Linked DNA regions of Mus musculus. The protein of the gene in region 1 binds, or shares a complex with, the protein of each later gene. Links are inferred from orthologs where the notes say so. Each region holds a gene or a part of one and is shown on either strand. Other genes may lie near its edges.

Region 1 (6,635 bases):
AGATTTAATCATGTGACCAGAGAGCAAGCCACTTCCAGACCAGTGAGGTCTAAAAATGTCTACTTCCTATGCCACCAGTCAGGGCCCCAGGAAAACAAACAACACCAAGGGTAGGAAAACACCGTTCCCAGGTGACAGACACACAGTCCAGAGGGACCAGCAGAGGCTCCAGGGAACACTCCCTCAGCAAGGCGAGAAGATGCAGTGACTGACCAAAGCAAATGATGCATTTTGGTATTCAGTGAAAAGTTAATTTAGTGGGAAGTTCATAGGGAAATAAAATCTAGGAGATGATAGGACTATGTAGGGAAAGAAAACCACCGGTCTACCCAAAACCGCACTAGGTGCACACAGGAAGACAGGTGACAAGAAACAAACATCCACACGAGGGGTACAAAGAATAACAACAGCACCATCATGTTACAAGATACACTGGTGTTGCTGGAGAGACGGGTCGGTTGTTGCCCTCGCAGGAGGCCCAGCATCCGATGTCAGAGAATCCAATGCCCTCCTCTGGTCTCCATTAGCAACAAACACCCACGTGGTACATATACATACAAGCAGGCAGACACATATAGACATCAAATAGAAACAATCTTACAAATGAAACAAAACCCATATACATTAGCCAAACAGAGGGGAGCATGGATAGTTGCTCTGGAGAACTGATAGCCCTCTTCAGCCAACACTCTTAGAGAACTATTGGAGTTTAAAATGCAGCCTCCCCTTCCCCACTTTCATGGTCTTTGTATTTCTAGCACTAAGCAGTCAGTCATCTGCAGTTCATGAAGACTTTGGCCAAGAAGCATAATTCCACATAGCAGGATTAACAGATTCTCAAGCTCAAACCAAACTCCAGGAGCAATAGTCGCAGTGCTGTAACAGTCCCACCAAGGATGGCCATGACCAAAGTGGGATTAAAAACACAAAACCACGCTTTCTTCATCAGAATGTTTATTAAAAATATAGACTGTGCTTAAATGTCATTGTGGGTGTATGCTGACTTCCAAACAGACTTCACAAATAACACTTTGAACAGAAGTGGTAAACAGAAATGACTCCCCTTAGAGCCTGACATTATTAACCACTCCATCAACACTCACAGGGGTGGAGTTCATGGGCCTAAGGGCACCATGAACACAAGACATCTTTTTGCACTTCCCAAGTGGCTTTATATTTCAGCTATGGAGGTCAGTTCTCAAAGTCCTACTTGTTCTCAACAAGTAGTTTATATGTCCGTTTAATCAGCCTTACACCTTTCTGGGCCAATTCAGCTGCAGACAGGAGGAGAAGCCGTCACCAGGTCTTCATGCCATGCATCCACCTGACTGCCCGTCCTCAGATGCTATCCAGCTTCTTTAAGATATATGGAGCTGAAAGAAAAACCCGGGATTAGGTTTTTTTTTAAAGATTTATTTATTATTATACATAAGTACACTGTAGCTGTCTTCAGACACCCCAGAAGAGGGCATCAGATCTCATTACGGATGGTTGTGAGCCACCATGTGGTTGCTGGGATTTGAACTCAGGACCTTTGGAAGAGCAGTTGGTGCTCTTAACCACTGAGCCATCTCTCCAGCCCCTGAATTAGGTTTTATTCTACAAGTCCTCAGGCCATACTGCACAGTTATAATGGTGGTGGTGGTGGCGATGGTGGATGTCACTGACTTTATGAAATATGATTCTAGAAACTTCCAAATTGTTATCCAACAATTGTGTCTGACCACAAGAAGGGATCCGCTGCTTTGCAAAGCTGCCCACCCCCATGTCACTCAATAACCATCGCACACAAAGAGCAAGCAACCTCACACTCCGGCATCTTTCCTCCAGGGCTGTACGTAACCCCAACAGCCCTTCACTGTGGGCATCTTTGACCTATTTTGCACTACAGGAAGTTAAATCCAGGTCTTGCACGGGCCAGGCAAGGACTTTACCCCCAAGGTATACTTGAGGGGGGTGGGAGGTGGAGCAGATTCCTTTTTAACCCAAACAAGACGAAATGCAAGAGGAATCAAATGGGCATTAGGCTTCATTACCAATGCTGGGAGAACAGGGGCTAGGAGGTGTGTGTGTGTGTGTGTGTGTGTGTGTGTGTGTGTGTGTAAGGCAAGCAGAGGAACAGACACCTACTCTGGTTTCTCTATGACTCTGTCACCTATGCCCTTCAGATCACACCAGTTACTGTGCTGATGTGATAAATGATGTGCACAGAGCTGTCTGGAATACCCAAGTGGCGTTGCTGAGATAGAGATGACTCAGCAGTTCAGAGTGTCTGCGGTCAATCAGGAGGACCTGAGTTCAGATCCCAGCAGCCCAGCCATCCAGCCATCCCTGGCAGCTTACAATTAATGGCCAGCTTGACTCCAGTTCCAGGGATTCCAACGCCCCCTTCTGGACTGCAGGCACGTGGTTCACATATAGACAAGCAGAAAAACACATAACAAAAGTCTCTTGTTTCAAGACAGATTTCTCTGTGTAACCGCCCTGTCTGTCCTGGAACTCCATTTGCAGACCAGGCTGGTCTTTAAAAAAAAAAAAAAAAAAAAAAATCATTGAGATCCACCTACCTCTGCCTTCTGAGTGCTGGGATTAAAAGTGTGTGCTACCATGCCCGGTTCTAAATAAAAATCATTAAATAGAATAAATCAGTGCACTAAGCTAACATTTCCTTGAGAGCTCTTGCCTATAAGAGAAGGATGGGAAAGCTAAAGTTTAAAGGGTAAGCAGGATGTTTTGGGTGCTTCCATTTCCCCCAAGATGTCCTGTCCTGGAGGAGCCAGCAATACAGAGAGTACAGCAAAAGAGGCACCCAAATGAGGGAGGCCTTAACTCCAGTCTTCTAAAAATGTTGGTATGTTCTTCAATTATTTGAATCGCTCCTGCCTCTCCCTGCCCAGAAGACTCCCACAGGCAAGCAAGCACTGGACAATAGGAAGAAGTGGTACAGGTGTGGAGGTCAGAGTACAACTTCTGGAAACTGGTTCTCTCCTGCCACCACGTGTGGATCCGGCTCAGGCAACTCAGTGAGCCACCTAGCCAGCCCCTGACTTTTAAATTGACAGTATGGCTTTAACCTTGAGTATGTGTCCTATGAACTCAAGCTCTCACTTGGGGTGAGGTGGCACAGATCAAGCAACTTTTGTTAATGTTGAGATCAAACGCTTCAGAGATTCTCCAAGAAAAACCAATTATTTACTTCACCCTCTGTACAAACAAACATAAAGAAAGCTAATCTCTTGTACTTCAAAGGCAAGCAGAGAGAGAAAGCGCCTGCTACCTTATTAAGAGCTCAGCCGGAATTGTATTCGTTCTCTGAACGGCCAAATGACCTTGGGTCAGCCACCTTCCGGGGACCGTTTCTAGGTTTGCAAAACGAGGGTATTGCTCCGAGGATAACACGTGGGAGCTTCTTAAGCACAAACGTTGGGCGAGCAAAGGTGACTTAACCACGCGTCCTCCGCCACCACGTGCACTGGGCACATCCCCAGGACCCGCAGACCCCCAGAGTGTGCGCAGTTGGGCAGTCCTGGACGTGCAAGCACCCCACTCTCCCCAGGATGCTCAGCTCAAGGCCCCACGACCGCGTGCAGGGTTGGGTGTGGACGCGTGGCCTCACGGTCACAGCCCAGAAGGACACTCACTGACTCGCAGCAGGGCCACGTAGATGAGGAAGTTCCGAATGGAGGAGACCACATCCTCACGCATCTTCCGCTTCATCTCCTCCGGGTCCAACTTGGGCGCGAGACCCTCGATCCGGAACATTGCGGCGGCTCTGCCTCCAAAGCTTGCGAGAGCAGCAGCTTGCTCTCCTCCAGTGGCCGCCCTGCACCCGGAACTTAGCCAGGCTCCACTTCCTGTCCCACCCCTTGTTTCTGTCCTGTGACGGGAACCTGTGAGGGGAAAATTTCATCCTGTCTTCTTGTGTCTGAAGCAAAGAGACCTGAAGGGGGCGGCCGCCGCCTTAAGTCTCTGAGCCTTGGGTGGATCTGGACTGTGTTTTGGTCCCTAGCCGGGAGAGTGCCACCTGTAAAGTTGTTTTATGCTGTAAAGTAGGGAGGTGTGTGCAAAAATATCATTATAAATAATAATAACATTTATGAAGAATCTAAGACAGTACTTCGTGAAATGCACATTTTAGTCTGTCCTTCCTAGGTTTGAAATTTAAAACAACTTAGTTGGGAATGAAGTTCGTTTGCCAAATCGTTTTCTTAGGATGCATGAAGCCCTGGATAGTGTTGCTGTTGTGATAAACACCACCAAAATAACTTAGGAAGGAAAGTGTTTCACCTAACCTGTTAACGTTATCCAGGGAGGCCAGCACTGGAGTTCAAGCTGGAACCTAGAGGAGGGAACTGAAACCAAGCGGAGACGTTGTCTTTACTGGCTAGCTGGCCTCAACCAGCTAACTTACTTTTATTGGTTAGGACCACCTGCCGGGTGGCATTGCCCACAGTGGGCTAAGCCTTCCTCCATCAACTAGTAGTCACACAATGACCCTCAAATTCACCAATAGGACAATCTGGTGGAGGCAATTCCTCAATTGAGGTTTTCGCTTCCTAGGTGTCAAGTTGACAAAAACTAGCCAGCACAGTGCTGCACACACCTGTGTTCCCAGCACTGGGCTGCTGGAAAAAAGGGGTCAAGAGTTGAAGGTCAGGGCAGTGCTGGCTCAAGCACTTGGGAGACACAGGCAGGCAGATCTTTGAGTTCAAGGCCAGCCAGGTCTACAGAGTGAGTTCCAGGACAGCCAGGGTGACACAGAAAAATCCTGTCTCCAGACAAACAAACGAATGAGTTCAAGGTCAAGGTGGAAACAGTGTCTCACACCTGTAATTTCAGCCCTCAGAAGACAGAGGCAAAAGAATTACTGCAAGGTTAGGGGCAGCCTGGGTTACAAAGTAATTACAAGGACAATCTGAAACAAACAAACAATCCCAAGATAAACAAACACAAACAAAAAACAGAGGTCAAGGTTATCACCCTCAGCTAGTGAGCTCAGACTGCTAGTGTCCCAGACACTGAAATTCTAACATTTCCCACATTTTTTTTCTGTACACTCATTTTTTGGAGGTAACTGATCTTTAAATATTCTAATGAAGATCTTGGACTACAGCAAGTATGAGCCCAGATCAAAACTGATCAACACTGGACAGATGAGAGAAAATCAAGTTAGAGTTTTCAGACATGAATGGGACAACTGAATTTTTCACATAATCCAATATCAGAACGTCTCTTTTTGCAGGCACACTGTATAACAACAATGAATTTGGGGTTAAATAAGAATAATACTTGAGGGCTGGTGAGATGGCTCAGTGGGTAAGAGCACCCGACTGCTCTTCTGAAGATCGGGAGTTCAAATCCCAGCAACCACATGGTGGCTCACAACCATCCATAAGGAGATCTGACTCCCTCTTCTGGAGTGTCTGAAGACAGCTACAATGTACTTACATATAATAAATAAATAAATCTTAAAAAAAAAAGAATAATACTTGAAGCCGGGCGTGGTGGCACACGCCTTTAATCCCAGCACTCGGGAGGCAGAGGCAGGCAGATTTCTGAGTTCGAGGCCAGCCTGGTCTACAAATTGAGTGCCAGGACAGCCAGGGCTACACAGAGAAACCCTGTCTCGAAAAACAAACAAACAAACAAACAAACAAACAAAAGAATAATACTTGAGGCCGGCCATGGTGGTGCATGCCTTTAATCCCAGCACTTGGGAGGCAGAGGCAGGCGAATTTCTGAGTTCGAGGCTAGCCTGTTCTACAGAGTGAGTTCCAGGACAGCCAGGACTACACAGAGAAACCCTGTCTCAAAAACACCAAAAAACAAACAAACAAACAAAAAAACTTGACTGTGAGAATGACTGACAATGTTAGCACCTTCCTGATTGACAGAGTGTAAGACCCTGGGGTTAGAGTAAAAAACTCTCGAGTGTTTCTTCAAGCTTTAGTAAGTATTTGCATCTATAATTCAGACAGTGGACAAGCAGAGGCAGCAGTGGTAGGGGAGGGGCTGACTCCTAAGGAAGAGGTCCAGCCTTCATGAGTGCCGAGAAGATCACTCTTGGCAATGCTTCTCCCTGCTCACAAAATCAGGGACAAGTCTCTCTTTCGTGCTCTAAAGTCTCTTCTCACTCTGATCATCTATGCATTTGAATTCTATTTGTGTCATTGAGGGCATAATAGTTTGGAGTGCATGAATGTCAATATATCATCACCCGTGATCAGCTAGTGTGCTGGCTAGATTCTTGTTAAGATGACACAAGCTTGGGTCACCTGGGAAGAGGGCACTTCAGTTGAGGTGAGGTCCCCATCAGGTCGTCCTGTGGGCAAGCCTGGGAGGCACTTCCTTGATTGATGATCGGTGTGGGAGGGCCCAGCGCAGTAAGAGCGGTACCATTCCTAGACACGTGAGCCTGGATTGTTTGAGAGAGAGCTGGCTAGGTAAGTAAGCAGCATTCCTCCACAGCCTCCACTTCCTTCAGACCCTGCCTTCAGGCTCCTGCCTGGACTTCCTGCTCTTGGCTTCCCTTTGTGATGGACTGCACCTATCTGCAAGAATAAACCATTTCCTTCCCTAGTTGCTTTCGGTTATCATGTCAACAAAACCAAACTAAAACAGATAAACAAAATAGC
Region 2 (6,692 bases), on another chromosome or scaffold:
CAAATAAATTTTTATTTTAAAAATAAGTGAATCTTTTTAAAAAAGTTTTAACCTTGGTTTTGTTCCAAAAAGACCTGCCACTCCCCTGTAGCACACCAGGTAAACCGGGAACTCAGAGACTGTATCTTAGAACTTTTTAGAGGAACAAAGTATCTTTCTTTACCAAGCACAGCCTGTGGGTAAAATATCCCAAGATAAAATGTAACTCTTACAACAGTCTGAGTTCTGATTTATGGTTTCTATATCAATGCCTCTACAATCTAGTCACTTTAAAGCTATGTCTAAAATTATTTGTTGTTGTTGTTTGGTTGGTTGGTTTTTAGTTTATCAGAAATTTCGATACCTGAAAAGTTAAGAAATGTCAAACACTGCCAAGCAGTGGTGGCAGCGCTCACCTTTAACCCCAGCACTGGGAGGCAGAGGCAGGTGGATTTCTGAGTTCAAGGCCAGCCTGGTCTACAGAGTCAGTCCCAGTACAGCAAGCACTACACAGAGTAACCCTGTCTTGAAAAACTAACAAAATAACATTTTGGAGGTAGATTTGTTTTTTCAAAGGAACAGCGCAGCCTATTATAGGATAATCCAACTGAACTGACAACATGGAAGCTTTGGAGCTCTGCATGCACATCGAGATGACATTAAATACACATGAAGTATGCTCTTCTTCCAACAAACAGTTTACATGGGAAATGTGTATGGGCAGCAGTTTTTAATCCTGCATGACAATAATTACTCAAGTGCCACCTACTACCATCCACCAGTCCCTGAGATCAAGAACCAGCCTAACATGTGCCAAGGAATGCTCAGGACACAAGGCCAACAGGGCCAGAGGACCAATCCTCTCCATCACTGGAGCATCATCTTCTACATTTTGGGTAGCCTGCACATCCTGCAGTTCAAGAAATCAAAAGACCTTAGTAGGACTTAATTCTGGGCAGGTCTGCGTAGTACACCATCAGTGCTATGACGACTCAACTCTACTCAAGTATAAGCAGAGCATCCCCTCTTCAATCCAGGTCCTACATGTCCTTCAAGACCTTACACTTCCTAACTTGTTCCTAGTTCTGGTTTACCATCAGCCTTTCCTTTCCAACAAGAATTTTTAGTTTACAAATCTACTGCTTGATCCAATTCTCTGATTATCTTCGACTTACAGTTTGTCTTTCCAATAGAAAGGGTGTTTTTGTTTGTTTTACAACACTGGACCTCATACATAGCTGGGTAAACACTCTACTGCTAAGTTACACTCCCAGTCTTAAAGTAAACGTTTTAAAGACAAAGATGGTGTGTTTTAGTTTAAAACAACATACATGCACAAACACATTTAAAATTCAGTAGGCTGAAAATAAAGATTAGTAGTAGAGATGCAAGGCCCAGCAACAGTAAAGAAAAAATACTTACAGTCACCTAATACTCTATAATCTATTAATCCAAGTCAGTCACTCAACCATAACCAAATAATTAAGACTTCTTCACAGACCAAAGAAACCACAGGACAAGACAAATATAAAAGCCACAAATGCAACAGATCTAAGCATCAAGAAACAGCACCACAAACAACTTAATAGATACCAGTTACATGCAGAGCAGCATGCACACAGTACCGAGCAATCATAGTTTAGCATGAACATTAAACACCCATCTCCAATCTCACAATAAAAACTTCTAGAGAAGAAGGAGAACAGTGCTTTACTTTCTCCCTTCTTTAACAACAGTCGGGAAGGATCAACACATATGAAAATAGCAAATTCTGTAGAGACATTCCAGTCAGGATAAACAGGCAGACATCTCCATGGATGGCTGTTAGAATGTAGCCACTATACTAAATGGTCATTGTAGTCAAATAACCAAGTTACTACTCAGAGCCCAGAACTCTGACAGGTACTAAGAGAAAGGGTTACAGGAGTCACGGCCTTCATGCTTGTCATCTACCTGAGTAGACAGTCCCAAATAAGCAATGGCTTTCCCAACTTCTCCATGCAATCATGGTAAAACATACATAATAAAGGAATATAACAAAACCATGTGAAATGCAGAAATCACATACAAAGCCAATAAATCAGACTACACATAAATCATTCAAAACAAATTAGCTTCTGCCTCCTTAAGGGAAAAGAGCTGTAGATATTTATGGGCTATGAAATTAACAGCTTCGTGAAAACGAATCAATAACTTACCACACCGCTGCATGACTTCGTCTTCACATCCAGCTTCACCAGCCCAAAGCCTTCAAAAAGAGAGGGCAAAGATATGATTCTTCTGCAGAAAAGACGTATACCCACACTCAAAGTACTGTGAACATAATCCCAAAGTCCGGGACAGAAATGGACAAATGCACAGCACATGAAGGAACATTTACAAGCAGTCAGCTCTGCTAAGGTGACAGTAGCGCTGCCTAGTGTCCTATAACTGGCTCCACTTCCTGCCGCACCCTTTTCAAGCCATTTTTAAACGTTAGATTAAAAATCAGTTCCTCAGACTGGCCTACTGTTTATGGCAACACACTTAGGACTTTTATCCCAAAAGGGTATCACCAAAGAGCAAGGGGTAGTGGTATGTGCAAAACAATCAATTTTCAAGAAAGCACAAAAATTGACTCAAAACTCTAAGGTTTCCACCTACCCAGAGTCATAACCACAAAAATAAAACAGTAATTCTAGGCAGCTCTATCCAACCATGGTCTGAACTGTCACTTAAAAGAATAAAGTACAGGCTTTCCCCTCTCCCTAGGGGGTGGGGAGTGGGGTGGTACTCGCCTCCCATCACTTGGGAGGCAGAGGCAGGTAGATCTGAGAGTTCAAGGCCAGCCTGGTCTACAGAGTGAGTTCCAGGACAGCCAGGACTACAGAGAGAAAGCCTGTCTTGAAACAAAACCAAAAAACAACAACAAAATAAAAAGAACAAGCTTTTCAATTGTGACCGAAGAAAGGCTAAGAAAGTGGGGTACACATGCAGCTGGCAGAGGCATGAGTGCAGCAGGGTATTCAGTCTAGAAAAGCAAAGCAATTAACTTTTTTCAAGAGGTCCAAGCATATATTTTTCTCTTTTATGTTTAAAAGGGAAAAAAGTCCTTACCAAATCCTTTGTTGAAAATGTCTCTGGCAGCTTTGCCGAGGTCAGCATAGGGTGGAGGGATACACATCGCTAGTCAAAAGAAACATTCTACAGTTAATGTGAGCTACTACTAGGACCTACTGCTAACATTTACATTCAAGCAGTTCAACCGGAGTGGGTTTTGATGCCACTAGAACTTCAATAAATGTTATTCTAAAGTAGCCACCCATAACAAAAACTTATTTCTAAATAGCTATGTGGTAATACAAACCTGGGACATTTCTACCAAGTTTTAAGAATGGGGGAAGCCTTTCTAATTCCTAAACATAAGTGTCTACTGCCTACACAGTTGCCAAAACTCAAGGTGACTGATTTAACGGAGATAAAAACCAAAATTTAAGCTTAGGCGTTCTCCCCTAACAAACCTTTGGGAAGGACTTCCAAAATCAAAACCAACACTCTGGGAACTGGCACAATTGAGACACGGGCAAAAAATACAACCATCTATGTCTACAGCAACTAAATATCAAATGGCACTTTAAACACATTACTACGGTCCCCCAAGTCCTCCGACAACGTGAGGCTTAAGGGCAAGGAATCCGAGCTCCAGGAGCAGCTCATTCATTCTCCAGTGCACATCCACGCCCTTAGGAACACGTGTAATGACCTTGTAGTGCACTCGACCTGTGCAGGCAGACAGCGAACTACTTCCTCTTGCAAAGTGACTGCTCTAACTCTCCGCCCCCCCCCCCCGAACCCCAAGATGGAATTCAACAACTAAGTGTTTTGCTTTCGGATTTGTAAGTAACATATCCAAAAGCCAAGGGTGGGTGCGGCCAAGGACCAACGCCCCAGGCGCGAGCCCCCCTATCTGCAACCCAACAGCCCAGCACCACGTCCGTCAACAGAGTGGCAGTGTAAGACTTAGGGGGCGCGCAAAGAAGCAAACTTTCCAAGTCTTTGCAGGCATCATGTGGGCCACGGCGGAACAAGGTATGGTTCTCTAAAGAGGAACAGCACAGCCCCCATGGCCCCATCGCGCAAACACCTCTTGTGCTACTTACGCCGTGGGCATACCGGTACACAGCACTCAGCCATGGCGAAGTCGCGGGGAAAAGGTGATCTGTGAAAGGGACAAGAAGTGCGGTCAGGGGACAGTCAAAGGGTCCCCTGGGGAGCTCGGACATTAGAGAAAGGGGCCGGGGCCGCTGCGGCCATCTTAGGGGACCAGGGCCGCCCTGAGTTCACTCAGGCTGCCGGCCCGCCCTAAGGCCCCAGAGTCGGCAAGAGGCGGGCACCATAGTACCTGCGGGTGTCCTGAGGGGCGCTGCCGCCACCGCTCGGCTCGCAGCTGAGGCCACTCCGCTATCTGAAAGTTGCGCTGCAGCCACCGCGGCTGGAGGGCGAAGTGAAGGAGACACCGTTGCGCCCCGCCGCAAGCCTGGCCTCCCCCAGCCAGGTCCCCGCCGCGGCCGCCCGGGCTGTCTACCGCGCCTGTCCTTGCCGCTCCGCCCGCTGCCCACTCCCACCTGCTCCGGAGTGACCACGTGGGTCGAGAGCACGGCGGTCTCCTTGGGTGAGCGGTCTCGGACCGTCCGGCGGGGACGGGGCGAGCAGGAGCTGCGGGGCCTCGGGTTAGGCAATGTCCAGGACAGCCCCAGAGGCGAGGACCTGGGAACGGCGGAGGCGGCGCAACGGCACCCGCGCGGTCAGGATGGGAGTGGCCACGCGAGTCGCGACGGGGCGGGGCGATGTGCCCCGCAGGGTCACGTGCACCCTCTCAGCCTCCTCCCTGAGTCCCAGCCTGGAGGTCTGAACTTAAGGTCCGGGTTGAGGGGGATGAAACACTCTCCCCAAGTGCAGCCTCCATGCTCTTCCCATCTCGGTTCACCGCCCACCGCCATGTCCTCCCCTGCTGGGACTAGGCTGGGCTCCAAAGGAACAAACTTGAGCCAGTCTCTGGGCATTTCTCTCGGAGCCTCAGGGTTGCGCTCCTGCAGCCTCCGTCTCACCCATATATGGTATGGGTTCACACACGCGCAGAAGCACATCCTGCTCTAGGAAGAGAAGCTTCCCCTGGTTGAGAGGCCTGGAGAGACAAGGGAATAACTGTAGGATTCATGCTGACCAGTCATTAGAATGCTGCTCTCAAGTTCTTTAGATATGCCAGAAGAGGGAGGGAGCAGCCAGTCCTGATGCCTATACCTGTAGTCCCAGATCTGGGCGGCAGAGAAATTACACCAGATTGAGGCTAAACTACAGAGTGAGGCAAAAGGTTAATAAAGATAAGAGACCGCTGGATAGTGGTGGTGCACACCTTTAATCCCAGCACTTGGGAGGCAGAGGCAGGTGGATTTCTGAATTCGAGGCCAGCCTGGTCTACAGAGAGAGTTCCAGGACAGCAAGGGCAATACAGAAAAACCCTGTCTTGAAATAATAATAATAGAGACCAGTTTGAGGCTAAACTACAGGGTGAGGCAAACAGGATAATAAAGATAGAATCGGAGGCTCAGTGAGTAAGAACCCTTATCTTGCTGTGCATGCAAGGGGACCTGAGCTCGGATCCCCAGCACCCAACACCCACATTAAAAGCCAGTAGTAGTTCCAGAAATAGAAACAAGAGGGTCACGGGGGCTCTGTCAACCTGGCCTGCAAACCGTGTTCTCTAAATTCTGTAAAAGGTGAAGAGCAGTAGACACTGTTCAAAACACACACACACACACACGTCAGCCATACAGAAGATTTAAAATGGAGACAACTGACACTTCAGCTCAATAAACTCAAATAATTTAGCCTGTGGACCTCAATTCCCTCATCTCTAAGATGCTGTTTAATAATCTTCAATAGACATACAGTTGGACTGAGAGCAAAGACACCCACACATATGCACTCATGACTCAATCGTCTCTGAACTCTTCCTCTACTCAAGTACTGTTAAGTCATCACTCTCCTCCTAAGCCGGAGGAAAGATGGCTAGGTGGGCTCCCCCCAATCCAACACCCAAGTTTAAAGTTACACTCTGGTATGTTTCTCTCCCAGGAGCAAGGCTAGCCAGCAACCTCACCTGCTCACAGCTGGAATTGTGTTGTAAAAAGTGAAATGGGAAGAGTCTTTGTGTGTATGAGATCGGGCTCCAGCACCTGACTCATCCCTTCATCCAAGCTCAGGCAGGTTGGTCTGCCATGGACCTGGCCCACGGGAGACAGTCTGCCCCAGCTGTGTGATGCTTGTGGTAGAGTTTGGCCTCCTCAGCACTGCCTTCCAGAAAAACTCAGCCTGCTAAATTAGTTACCTCAATTGCCTATAGCAGGGCTTATTCCTATTCTGTATTACCTGTCACAAGTTTTGATCTCCAGAGACATCATTTTCTGACACAAAAGTCGGAAGCTTTACTCTGTAAAGTATGTGGGTGGTGCTTAATGGCCACTGGGGACAAACTCCAGCCTAAGCAAAGAATTACAGGGGTGGGAAAGATGGTGACTCCTTCCCATCATAAAGACACAGCTGACACTCCTATGTAAAAGGCAGGTTAGCAAGAGAAATGTATAATTCATTTATTTGATCATGATTTTATATGATATACAAGCCACCAAACTGAAGAGCCCAAACATCCAAGGTGAATTATTGATTTTTATTTT

The links. The genes of interacting proteins can lie anywhere in the genome.
Region 2: the proteins of Tomm5 (region 1) and Vdac2 are in contact, whole or in part, in a cryo-EM structure (PDB 9EII), measured with the Homo sapiens proteins. The link is inferred for Mus musculus from reciprocal best matches to the Homo sapiens genes TOMM5 and VDAC2. Residues at the interface, in NP_001001790.1 of Homo sapiens: Ile25, Arg29, Leu32, Ile33, Ala36, Arg39, Val40, Phe43, Ile44, Lys47; in NP_001171752.1 of Homo sapiens: Val38, Thr60, Gly63, Asp239, Tyr258, Gln260, Thr261, Leu262, Leu268, Leu270, Val286, Leu288.

What each region holds. Positions count from the first base shown.
Region 1 is NC_000070.6:45,104,272-45,110,906, forward strand, and holds Tomm5 (mitochondrial import receptor subunit TOM5 homolog), read right to left. Parts: upstream 3,843-6,635; 5' UTR 3,763-3,842; coding exon 3,642-3,762; intron 2,618-3,641; coding exon of another isoform or gene 2,568-2,617; intron 1,374-2,567; coding exon 1,339-1,373; 3' UTR 938-1,338; downstream 1-937.
Region 2 is NC_000080.6:21,829,336-21,836,027, reverse strand, and holds the start of Vdac2 (voltage-dependent anion-selective channel protein 2), read right to left. Parts: upstream 4,468-6,692; 5' UTR 4,361-4,467; intron 4,178-4,360; 5' UTR 4,153-4,177; coding exon 4,119-4,152; intron 3,145-4,118; coding exon 3,076-3,144; intron 2,228-3,075; coding exon 2,178-2,227; intron 1-2,177. UniProt on the Homo sapiens protein: Non-selective voltage-gated ion channel that mediates the transport of anions and cations through the mitochondrion outer membrane and plasma membrane.